Drosophila melanogaster: one gene and its partners. The protein of the gene in region 1 purifies or fractionates together with the protein of each later gene. This does not show direct contact. Each region holds a gene or a part of one and is shown in the gene's direction. Other genes may lie near its edges. The genes, in order: Fkbp12, Df31 and Chd64.

Region 1 (3,368 bases):
AATACCTGGCGGTGATCAGGCAGGGACTATCCATAGTGGCACTGGACGATAACAACGGGGGACTACTGGTTGGCATTGCCGTGGCGGAGACGATGGATCCCATCGAAATGGCCAAGCAGCACAAGGAAGCCGAGGAAATGGAGCCAAATGCTTTGGGTCGCAGCAGGAAATTTATAGCCAAAGTGGAGCGCGAAGCCAACATTTTCGAACGCTTCGGAGTCTCCTCCTACCTGAGTCTGCTGGTCATCTCCGTTCACCCCTCAATGAGGCAAAGAGGTATCTTGGTCATACTTTCCAAATGTCTCTTTAAATTGGGTCGCCTGCGGGGACACACTCTGTTCATCACCAGCGGAACCAATCACTACTCCTCCCGGTCGGCGATGAAAGCGGGATGTGAGTGCATCCATTCGGTGGCCTATGCTGACTACAAGGACGAGTTGGGTCGGCCGATATATAATCCACCAGCGCCCCATACCCACATTCGGGTCTTGGCCTCAAAAATGTAAAAATTAAAATAATTTATTAATTAATTATTACTTTGGCCTTGGCAATTGATAAAGGTCGTCGAGCTGGAAACGCAAGTCCATATGGATCAAATAAAGTAATAAAATGTAGAACGGTCTACTTTATTGTTCAGATATTGTGTTGATTATGTATTTATCGACACATGACCTTGCAATAATTACAAAATCTGATATTAAGTAATCACTTTCCACTCGATGTATTTATCCTCAAAGATTTTGGGTCAGAAAACCATATTCGAAAAATGTTTATTACTAAAAGGATAAGTCAGTCTGGCACTTCATTAAAAATAAAACCAAAAGCCGTTGGAAACAACTTTCTCTTCGCCAAACAGAAACAATCTATAAATATGATAAGCCATTATCAGTGATAAGCGCCGAAGTATAAAAGCCATGTACACATCGGCGTCCTCTTCTGTCTTAAGAAAAGCATATAGAACGAATTAGCTCCGGATCGCGATGACTCCCACGACAATAGATGGCGTCACGATACGCATCATGCGCCCAGAGGATTATGCACAGGTAAAAGCCTATATGGAGGCTGAGTACTACACATCGGAGCCTCTGTGCCAGTCCAGCGGCGAACCCGTTCACCAGCAGAACGAGGAGATCAACGACGCCTTCAACCAGTCGATAATCGCCGAGGGCACCAGCCTTTTGGCACTGGATGAAAACGATGGTGGCCGGATTGTGGGTCTAGTTCTGGCATGTGCCAGTTATCCCGATAATGTGAATGCAGGAACATTGAATTTGAAGCTCGAGAATGTGGAGGATAACGCTTGGGGTCGAATGTATCATTTACTAATGAAGGCCAAGCGCGAAGTCAATCTGTTTGAGCGCTACGACATCCCGAAGGCGCTCTACTCCCACGTGACCAGCGTGGCCTCGTGGAAGAGGGGCAAGGGCCTGGGCTCCCGCCTGGCCGCCACCCTGATGGAGCTGGGCCGATCGAATGGTTTCCCCCTTATGATGGCCTTCTGCACTAGCTTCTACTCCGCTCGCCAGAAGGGGGCCTTGGGCATGGAGTGCATCTATTCCATCGACTACGCCGACTATAAGGACGATGAAGGACGAGTGATCTTCACACCGGCAGCCCCACACACAAAGCTGCGAGTGATGGCAATCAAACTGTGACAGTTGATAACAAATAACTGAGTCGAGGAATTTAAATAAATTATATAACTATAGTTATGTTTATTTAATACTTAGCACACTTTTGGGGGACCTATACAAGTTGACCAATGACCAATGTGTCTCGGACTTTAAGATAAGAGGCAAGATCTTGCACTGCTTTATTCTTTCGGTTCATAGTAAACAATTCAAACGGACGCGCCAAAATACAAAAACGTCCTTATCGATAACTCGGAAAGCAATTGGTTTTGATAATTAATCAAATTGATGTGTGCGATAGTTTCCGCTCACCGACCATCGCCCACCGCTAGCTGTCATTCGGCGACGCGACGAACTGAAATCAACGTGCTTATTTTCCGCTCGGTAATTTGCCAGAAAAAAACTAATCGAAATGGGCGTACAAGTAGTTCCAATTGCTCCTGGTGATGGTGAGTATCCAATGATTGGGTTAGAATCCGCAAGAAATGCCGTAAACTACCGGCCTTTCTAACCTATTTAGTGCATTTTCGCAATGCACAATTCGGAAATACCTGCGACAATATGGTCGTCCCGCTCACACACATCCATTTTTGCATTCCCCGCCCGCAGGCAGCACCTATCCCAAGAATGGCCAAAAGGTCACGGTCCACTACACCGGCACCCTGGACGATGGCACCAAGGTGAGTACGAATCCCGATCCTCGCCATCCCCAGCTAATGATCCGCCTTGAATTCCACGCAGTTCGATTCGTCGCGCGACCGCAACAAGCCATTCAAGTTCACCATCGGCAAGGGCGAGGTCATCCGTGGCTGGGATGAGGGAGTTGCCCAGTTGAGCGTCGGCCAGCGCGCCAAGCTGATTTGCTCGCCGGACTATGCCTACGGTAGCCGTGGCCACCCCGGCGTCATTCCGCCCAACTCCACCCTCACCTTCGACGTCGAGCTGCTCAAGGTCGAATAGGCGCACAGGATGCCCAATGTGTATACCCCAAACCAAATCGCAGGGGGTTGCGGACCGGCGCACCGGCGACGAGCCGAAGAACATCATAATCGGAACCAGAACAATCCAGCAGCATTTGCCAACCCAAAATAATAATGATAACTTCATACACAGCTCTAAACTAGAACTAATTTAACCGCAAAGGGAACGCATCTTCTACCAATACAAATAAACATTTATTCAAGTCAATGACAAATGTCTTTCTTATCAAAAATCTTGGGATAATCCAATCAAATCAGCTGCGGTTGCCTTTCCGTGCTGCAATACAAATGCATTTCATATTATTTTTTAATCAGGAAAATATGCAAATATAAAAACGCTTTATCATTCTCTTGATAGACTTGAAGTGGTCTACTTGACAAATTTGATTTTATTTTATATAAGTATATAAAGTGTACAAGCATCTTATTTGCATATATATTCGATTTGGAAACAGGATTTTTTTTAATTCTTTGTGCACAATTAATCCAAATTATTTTTCATTTTCTATACCACTTCCAAAATCACCTAGATACGCTTCAGTTTTTGCAGACCAAGCTCATAATCTTGTCAATAACTTCATATCGCTCCTTTTCATACTTCTTGATATGCTTTATCCAGTGTCCGCGCACTTTCTTCCAGCGGTTCATATTGGAGGACAGAAGATCGGAGGTACTGGCACCTTGGAGAGCCTTTTCCCGCTTCTTGTCCTCCTGGCTGAACTCCAGACGAGGCGGAATTATGGGCAGATCCGTGGAC
Region 2 (3,758 bases), on another chromosome or scaffold:
AACGATGTAAAAAAACTAGTAACGATGACACCTTTACTGCTCTGAAATCATCTTTTGTGATGAAAATATAATTTTGTTCTGTTCAAGAATATAGGTATCTTCATTGATATGTACGTGCTTATCTACGTATATAATTCTTTGCTGCGAACTTAGACATTAGAGCATAACTGATTTGAATTCAATCTTTTTTGTGCGTTCAAGGGGATTTCAAAATGGTTGAGAATATTAACCTTAGACCAGTAGTGCCCAATTTCCTGCGTCGCGGAAAAATCTGTTTTCTTTAATTATTGGTCGATATATCGCCTTAGAATATCGTGTCGAAAGTTTCAAAAGCTAATTCTCGAAATTTTGGGAGATGCCCTTCGGATTTCGGAAGTCATACTTTCCTTGACGGCAATCTTTAAACCATGTTTGGTTCTATATGAAGTAAAGACTTTTCAATACAAACGAATGCCTCGTTCCTATAATTATATTTTAGAAACAAGAAACAACCCCAAAGCAAGGCTAAATGGAATAAACCCAAAATTTTACAGACGATGAAATCGAAAACCCGAAACAAATCACCCACCTGTAAAGCAAACATCCGTTGTCCAATTTTATTAAATCAGCATGTTTTCACGTTCCAAGCCGACACTCACAAGCTCGAAAGCAAAAGTTTGAATTTCAATAAATAAAATCTTAAAAATCTAATAGCGCTTGTATCCAAGAGCGAATGCACTTCACTCCAAAAGCCAAAGACACTAGATTATTCTAGTGTCTTTGCAAAAGCCCATTAAAATTTTACAGCCCAAAGTCCATATTAAAAAAGCTCGAGACCGAGGATTGATCGTCAATCAATATAGATCAATAAGTGGAGTTTAGCATGAGACCTAAAATTAAATGTTGACTTATGAAAATTGAAAACTTGTAATTATATGTATGTATAATAGCGTCTATGTTCTTCGGCAATGGAATCTCAGTCCTAGTGTATTGTTTTCCTTGCCAATAGCCTAAAATATTGTAAAATTTTAGTGAAGCAGAAAATTTACCAGCTGCCTGGTAGCGCACTCTAATTCTTTTTTCTATTATACCGATCAAGGGACGCAGACAAGGCCACTATACATATGTATGTATGTACGTACTTATGCGTGCATATCTGACTACCTGAAAATGTTTTCAGAGGGGTGAGGATTATTTCCGTCGGTTTTATGTGTTTGATTACATACATATGACATATCTTTAAGATATTATTTTTAAGATCTTGTAGACTGTGTAATTTACAAGGAAATTGATTGATGTAATTTAATAAAAAGCTTGAATTTTTTAAAAATGACGATATGTGTATATATATATATATGAACATACATGTTTGTGTGTTTGTTTATTTAATTTTTAGGAGTACCGGATCAAAAAAAAAACTTAGAATTGGGAAGGTGTATTACACGAAAAATCACTCAGGTCAATGAGAAAAACAAGGATAGGAATGCATTTGAATATTTTACCTGCTATATTTGTGTAGCCGCTAAATAATAGTTAAAAGGTGGCAGCCCTTTTTAGGGGACCGTTATTTTGAAATATTTGTCACTGCTATATTTCATCTCTTTAATATATTAAAATAAAATTGTAAAAATCTATCAGCATAAGCTAACTCCGAATTAAATAGAGAACGGGTGATAACGATAACAAACAAAGATATGTTTTCCGGAGGCGGAACTATCGCAAGCGGACTACCGACGTCTACCAACACTACAGGGCGGCGCTTTAAAAGCCGGTCCGACGCTCACCGCTCTCTCATTCGGCGTTTTTCTTTGTGACTGTGTGGACGTTCTTAATTGTACGGCAAAATCTCCAGCAACCAAGCTACTTTCTTAGCAAAGCTACTAAAGAGGAAACTATATTGATAAAATTTCGTTCTTTTAAAATCTTTGTGCTGATATTTAAGGCGTGCTTGGTGATCCAAAAACCCTCAGTTACAACGTGTTTTCTCGCTTCGCGTTTGAAAAGTAATATCTAACAGTAATTCAAAATGGCTGATGTGGCTGAGCAAAAGAAGTGAGTACTTTGCTTGCCTTGTTTTCGGACGTTTGTGGATTTTGTTTAAGCAATGGACTTGTAGCGAATTTTGCTAATGAAAATCTATGTTATTTGCCGAAAAGATTTGGAAATTTTCTTTTGAATTCTGTGTCTATATACGCAAACCGCTTGTTGGCACTAATGTAGTTGTCTCGTTCCCGCCAAAGGCAAAACGGTGTGCGCGCAAAAACCGACGCCGTTTAATTTGGCGCGGCGTCATGGTGCCTTCTCGCTCTTTCTCCGGCCGGCAAACAGCAACGATGAATTATTTGTGTGTGTGTGTGTAGCGGCGGAGTAATGCGTTGAGTGTATGCGGACGACAGGCCAAATGCGCAAAAGTCTATAGACATGTGTGTGTGTATGCGTGTGCAGCATTCAAGTTGCCGCTCTTTTCTTGTGCTGTTTCATTTCATCTGTCTGTGCTACCTCGTATGTTGCTTTGCTGCGTTTCTCACCAGACATCAAATTTCGAGGCTTGCCTTTTATACCCATTTGATAGCTTAAAGCTCGAAGCTTGAAATTAACAGTATAAATTTTCACGCATATCTATATTGGCATTACCAAAAATACTCCCTCTTTCCCTATCGATGAACACTTATGTATATATTTTTTTTAAGTAGTTATTATATGTTGCAGCTTATAATACATAACAAAACAAAACTCATGCCTAAGGCTGTTCCGGTTTTCTTTGAAAGACGCAGGTTGTATGACGTTATGCTACTGTTTGTATCGTTTGGACCGTTATTTTTGTCGTTTAGCGTTGCTACTTTGCAACTCTCTTTTTGTTCGCCCTATAGAATTCTATCTACCTCAGATGGCGAGTATCTGTTGGTAGATGAGTGCGAGAGAAACGACTATATTGTCATTAATCCCATTAAAACTGGTTTTTATTTCTATCTTTGTTCGTTTTAGTTTAAACGGGTCTCGCTTTTCATTTTGCACGTCTGCAAGCGTGTTTTTGGTTCTACCCTGTTCTCATCTGTTGGTAGAGAGCACTGAAATAACAAATGAATATATGCCATTTATATGAAAAAGAGCGTGCCGCCTAATCGCACTCACCTTTTCGCGCTTCCTTTTGCGTCGCAGCTTGCACGAGTTGTTGATCCCATTTTTGAAAAACGCCGGCAGATGTAACAATGCACTTTTTTTTTAGTTTTAATTCCGAACGTCCTGGGGCTCTTATGAATAGAAAGTGGAGGATGAAAACATAAACGTTACCTACCGGCGCTATATTGAAATTTTTCTTTTTTTTTTTTAAATTCAATTAATATTTAATTAATTAATAATTAATAGTTTTAGTTTTTGATAATTTTTAATTGATTTACTGTTTAGAGTTTTGTATGTAGTAGAATGCTATGCATACGAAGTTCAGTTCGGCCACCTTCGGAAAAAATTATAAGTGCATACTGACTTTCGTCTCTGATTATCACCCACAGTGAGACCCCTGTTGTCGAGAAGGTCGCAGCTGAGGAAGTTGATGCTGTGAAGAAAGATGCAGTTGCCGCCGAGGAGGTAGCAGCTGAGAAGGCGAGCATCACAGAAAACGGTGGCGCCGAAGAGGAGAGCGTAGCCAAGGAGAACGGAGCCGCCGACAGCAGCGCGACCGAGCCCACCGACGCAGTCGATGGTGAAAAGGCGTCTGAGCCCACTGTTTCTTTTGCCGCCGATAAGGATGAGAAGAAGGACGAGGATAAAAAAGAGGATTC
Region 3 (3,758 bases), on another chromosome or scaffold:
TTATTTTTTGCCCAACTTTGCACAGTTGTTCTGTAAGTTAAGTTTAATACGTTGAGCCAACGAATCGTGAGGTATTATTTATTTAAACAAAACGAAACAAACGAAAAAAAAAAAACATAGGAAAGAGGAGGAAATAAGGAAATTCAATTGAAATTATTTGCTGATACTGTTCGCAGCTAGTCGAGCAGATACATAGGTAGCCTGTAAACAATAAAACAATTACACGCGGATATATACACCCACTGTAATCACAGATGTCAGTGCTTGATATACACATGCCTAGGTCTAGTGGAACTGGTAGTTCTACCATGTTGTACTATTTGTAGTAGGAGTCCCAAATCTGATTATGCTTATGTCACCCTTTATTATAGGAATGTTCTCTGTATATTATTGCGTCTCTTTTGCGTCTACGTATATATTTTTTGGTAAATGATTTTTTATATATACATATACACATTTATATTTGTAATTTGTATTTATCCATGTGCAAAAATAAATTATGATGATTATTTTTTAAAGAGTCGTCCCCCTCGAAGCATGCATAACAGATTGTAAAAAATGAATCGATTTATATATAATACGAAAATCACACACTACCCACTTGTATCTGAGCGAAAGGGCCTTAACAATTAGTAGGATGCATGATCGATGTATGCAGATCGGTTATAAAAACAGATATAGCAGGCATATTATTCGCATGCGAAAACCGTTAATAGAATAATATATTATAATGGCAATATGTGTATGCAACTAATAAGCCCTAACTTCTAGTTAATTACTGCTTTCCTATGTTATAAACCAAATGGCGATATAATCAAAACAAAAGACAAGCCCACATAAGTTAAATGTGTATGCTACCAACATAACAAACCTTTGAAGATCAAGCTGAATTATGTATTTCTAATATTAAATATATCACAACCCACACATAAAAAAAAAAAAACAAACACGACAAATAGAACAACAAATTATACAAGCAATTCCCCTATTTATTTAGAACCACACTGAAACACTAAAGAAATTCGCTTCTTATCGTAAATCCACAATTGCATAATTTATACGATTAAACAAAATATATATTTATGTGAATAAACTGTAACTAATTCTCAAGGCAATCATCCAAATGCGATTCGCTACTTCTTGGTTTCCAGAAAGTCCCCCAAAAATGTCATGGTCATCTGAATGGAATGCTGCTGCAAGAACCTCTCGATAAGGGGGAACATAGGAAGTTTTCAATGGAACTTTACTCTGGCGAATCTTATCGGATAGTTTGTACACAACCGCAAAAAGTAGCACTAATAGTGGTTGACTTCTATTAAAAGTAAAGCAACAGGTGGATCATGGAAATCATACTGATTCAGATTCATTATCTTTTCAAAACCTATTGAAAACAAAAGTTACTGGTTTAGAAGGCAAATGAACCAGAAATTTTAAATTTATACTTATATAGTGTAAAATTGTTTCCAGTGCTCGATAGTTCCATGTTTTATTATTTGAAAAACAACTGCCGTTAACAAAGCGGTATGACATCATCAATGCCATCATAACAAATCAGCTGCCGCTGATAAGCGCAGCTTGGAGCTTTTATGTTGTACCCAACCTACTAGGTACAAGACTGAGTGTGCTTTACAACACTAAACTGTTGGCGAGCTTTCCTCTGTTTCGCAGCTCGGACCGCCTTTCATAACGTAGTAAGTTTTCGTTGCGAACGGACGTAGCCCAACCAACTTGGCCTTAACCCTTGCGCTCCCTCCGATTTATTCCGCGGCAAACACATTCCAGTGGACAGTGGTGCAGTTCAGCCCAAGACCAACCTACATTTTAGCTCCCTGCAAACCCGTTTCTTCATCAAATAACTATGGCGTCCAACCGTGCAGCGAAGTCTGGTTTTGCCGCCGAGGCCCAGCGCAAAGTAAGTACCAAATAGCAACAACAACCGCACCCCCCACCCAAAAACCGAAGAGCGCCAAACAAAACAACACAATAAACAAATTGCCCAAAAAAAAATCAACTTTTGCACGGGTGTGTGCGTGAGTTTAGAGCTGCATTGACTTTATTTGGCGCTGCGTTGTCAAGATTTTATCTTCGCGCGCCAAATGCCAAAAATTAGCCAAAAATGGTCTTGAAATTGCCAGCGTCTAACAAGGAATGACCTCATTTCGCTGATAAGTCGAACAAGTATTTATGTACATACATATGTATATAGGAATATATACATGCATGTACACACATGTGTAATGCATGCGTAATTCGAAAGCTTGAAGATGATTTAGGTGATTTTGAGGCATTGTCAGTGCGGGTGATTCAAATCGAAGATCGAGAAAACAGTTGGTTATCCATAAATCAAACAATTAGTAGTAGTTAGTAAAGCTCTGGAAATTTCGATATGAATAATATCCCAAGTTCGAACAGTATACATTATAAAGATGAGCTAATATAATCCTAATTAATTGTGCTGCAATAAAAGCAAGTCTGAATACATAGGTGCTACTTGTGGAGTATCCACTGTAGAAGGAAGACCCTTTGGATGATCTCAACCCAACTATTGCAGCATGGTAGCTTCCGCAATGTAAATTGACATTAGTTCCGTCCATTAGCAGCACTTTGCCTCAAATGCACTCATACAAATGCATCGGGCTTTTGTGGGTGGGATGGGGTTGGGGATGGGTTACCCGTACCCTTCGGCCATTTGGCCCTCGTCAAGTCGGGGTTACGCAATTCCAACCGCCCCTGGGCAGCCCCAAGTGAAATTGTATATGTCGCCGGCACAGGGGATTAAGTGCAGTCCGACGAAATCCACAACAAGACAACTACAGTTACAGCATTGCCCAAACAAAAAACGAAACAAATAATCGAGATTTTTCATATCCGAAGTTTTGTATACCCTTGAGGAGCACTTTACCAAGTTGTTGACAAACTGAAATATTTTGTTTTGCTTTAGCTTTGCTTATCTAAAAGTATTTCCACCCGGATTTCATTCTCTTGAGTCAGCCATTTGGCAAAAGGCCTTGTTTATCGGTATTATCTGTACTAGCGCATTTTTAAAACACAGTATGTTTTAAAACACAGTATGAAGTATGTTTTAACGTGGTTTATGGTGATATATCAGGCACTATGGTTATGAAAAATATTATGAGAACTCTGTAGTGTTTATTTATGCCATATCATGTTAAGCTAAAACATTTTGGTACTTGGAATAGGAAGAACCTTGGCATAGGGTATAGAAAAATAAGAGAAATAGAGGCGAGTGCCTGGAGGCGCAGCTGCTGGCGCGACTCCAAGCCGCGATCGAATGGCTCCCCAGGAGCCGAAGGCGATGATGTCATTCCTTCAGCTGTCCCTCCACTGGTGCTCCTCGATCCCTTCGCGATCCATTCAACTCGAAGGCGTTGTTAGTTTGAGCACTTTTGCCGCTCGCTGGGAGTCACTCATATCTTCTGAGGGGGATTCGGGTTCGGGTTTTGAGTTTTTGGGGGTGACAGGAGGTAGAGGCGATAGCAGCACCTTTTCCACCACATGAGCACTTAAAACTGAGTATGTGGCGTAAGCAAACAGCAAAACAAAAGTGAGGCAAAAAGGTATGAAAGCAATATTTTTGTTTGTCTCATGGGTTCTCTACACTCCGTGCTTGCGTGTGTGCTTTTTCCGACTTTTACGACCAGTCACCGACAAATTGGCATGGATCTCAAGTTTCGGCCAGGGAATTCGTAGCCCCTTTATTTTCAACCCTTTCCTGGGATCGTAGCACCAGCTGTCGG

What was found.
Region 2: the proteins of Fkbp12 (region 1) and Df31 purify together in Drosophila melanogaster (affinity purification with mass spectrometry, with the first as the bait; one large-scale study listed by BioGRID). This does not show direct contact.
Region 3: the proteins of Fkbp12 (region 1) and Chd64 purify together in Drosophila melanogaster (affinity purification with mass spectrometry, with the first as the bait; one large-scale study listed by BioGRID). This does not show direct contact.

The regions. Positions count from the first base shown.
Region 1 is NT_033778.4:19,288,146-19,291,513, forward strand, and holds Fkbp12 (FK506-binding protein 12kD), read left to right. Parts: upstream 1-1,963; 5' UTR 1,964-2,043; coding exon 2,044-2,080; intron 2,081-2,240; coding exon 2,241-2,311; intron 2,312-2,372; coding exon 2,373-2,591; 3' UTR 2,592-2,817; downstream 2,818-3,368. Other genes in the region: AANATL6 (arylalkylamine N-acetyltransferase-like 6), read left to right, coding at 1-506; AANATL4 (arylalkylamine N-acetyltransferase-like 4), read left to right, coding at 981-1,655; mip40 (Myb-interacting protein 40), read right to left, coding at 3,149-3,368. UniProt on the Drosophila melanogaster protein: PPIases accelerate the folding of proteins. It catalyzes the cis-trans isomerization of proline imidic peptide bonds in oligopeptides.
Region 2 is NT_033779.5:21,627,940-21,631,697, reverse strand, and holds the start of Df31 (decondensation factor 31), read left to right. Parts: upstream 1-1,765; 5' UTR 1,766-2,005; coding exon 2,006-2,031; intron 2,032-2,721; exon of another isoform or gene 2,722-3,047; intron 3,048-3,111; exon of another isoform or gene 3,112-3,236; intron 3,237-3,488; coding exon 3,489-3,758.
Region 3 is NT_037436.4:4,120,310-4,124,067, reverse strand, and holds the start of Chd64 (Chd64), read left to right. Parts: upstream 1-1,679; 5' UTR 1,680-1,858; coding exon 1,859-1,912; intron 1,913-3,758.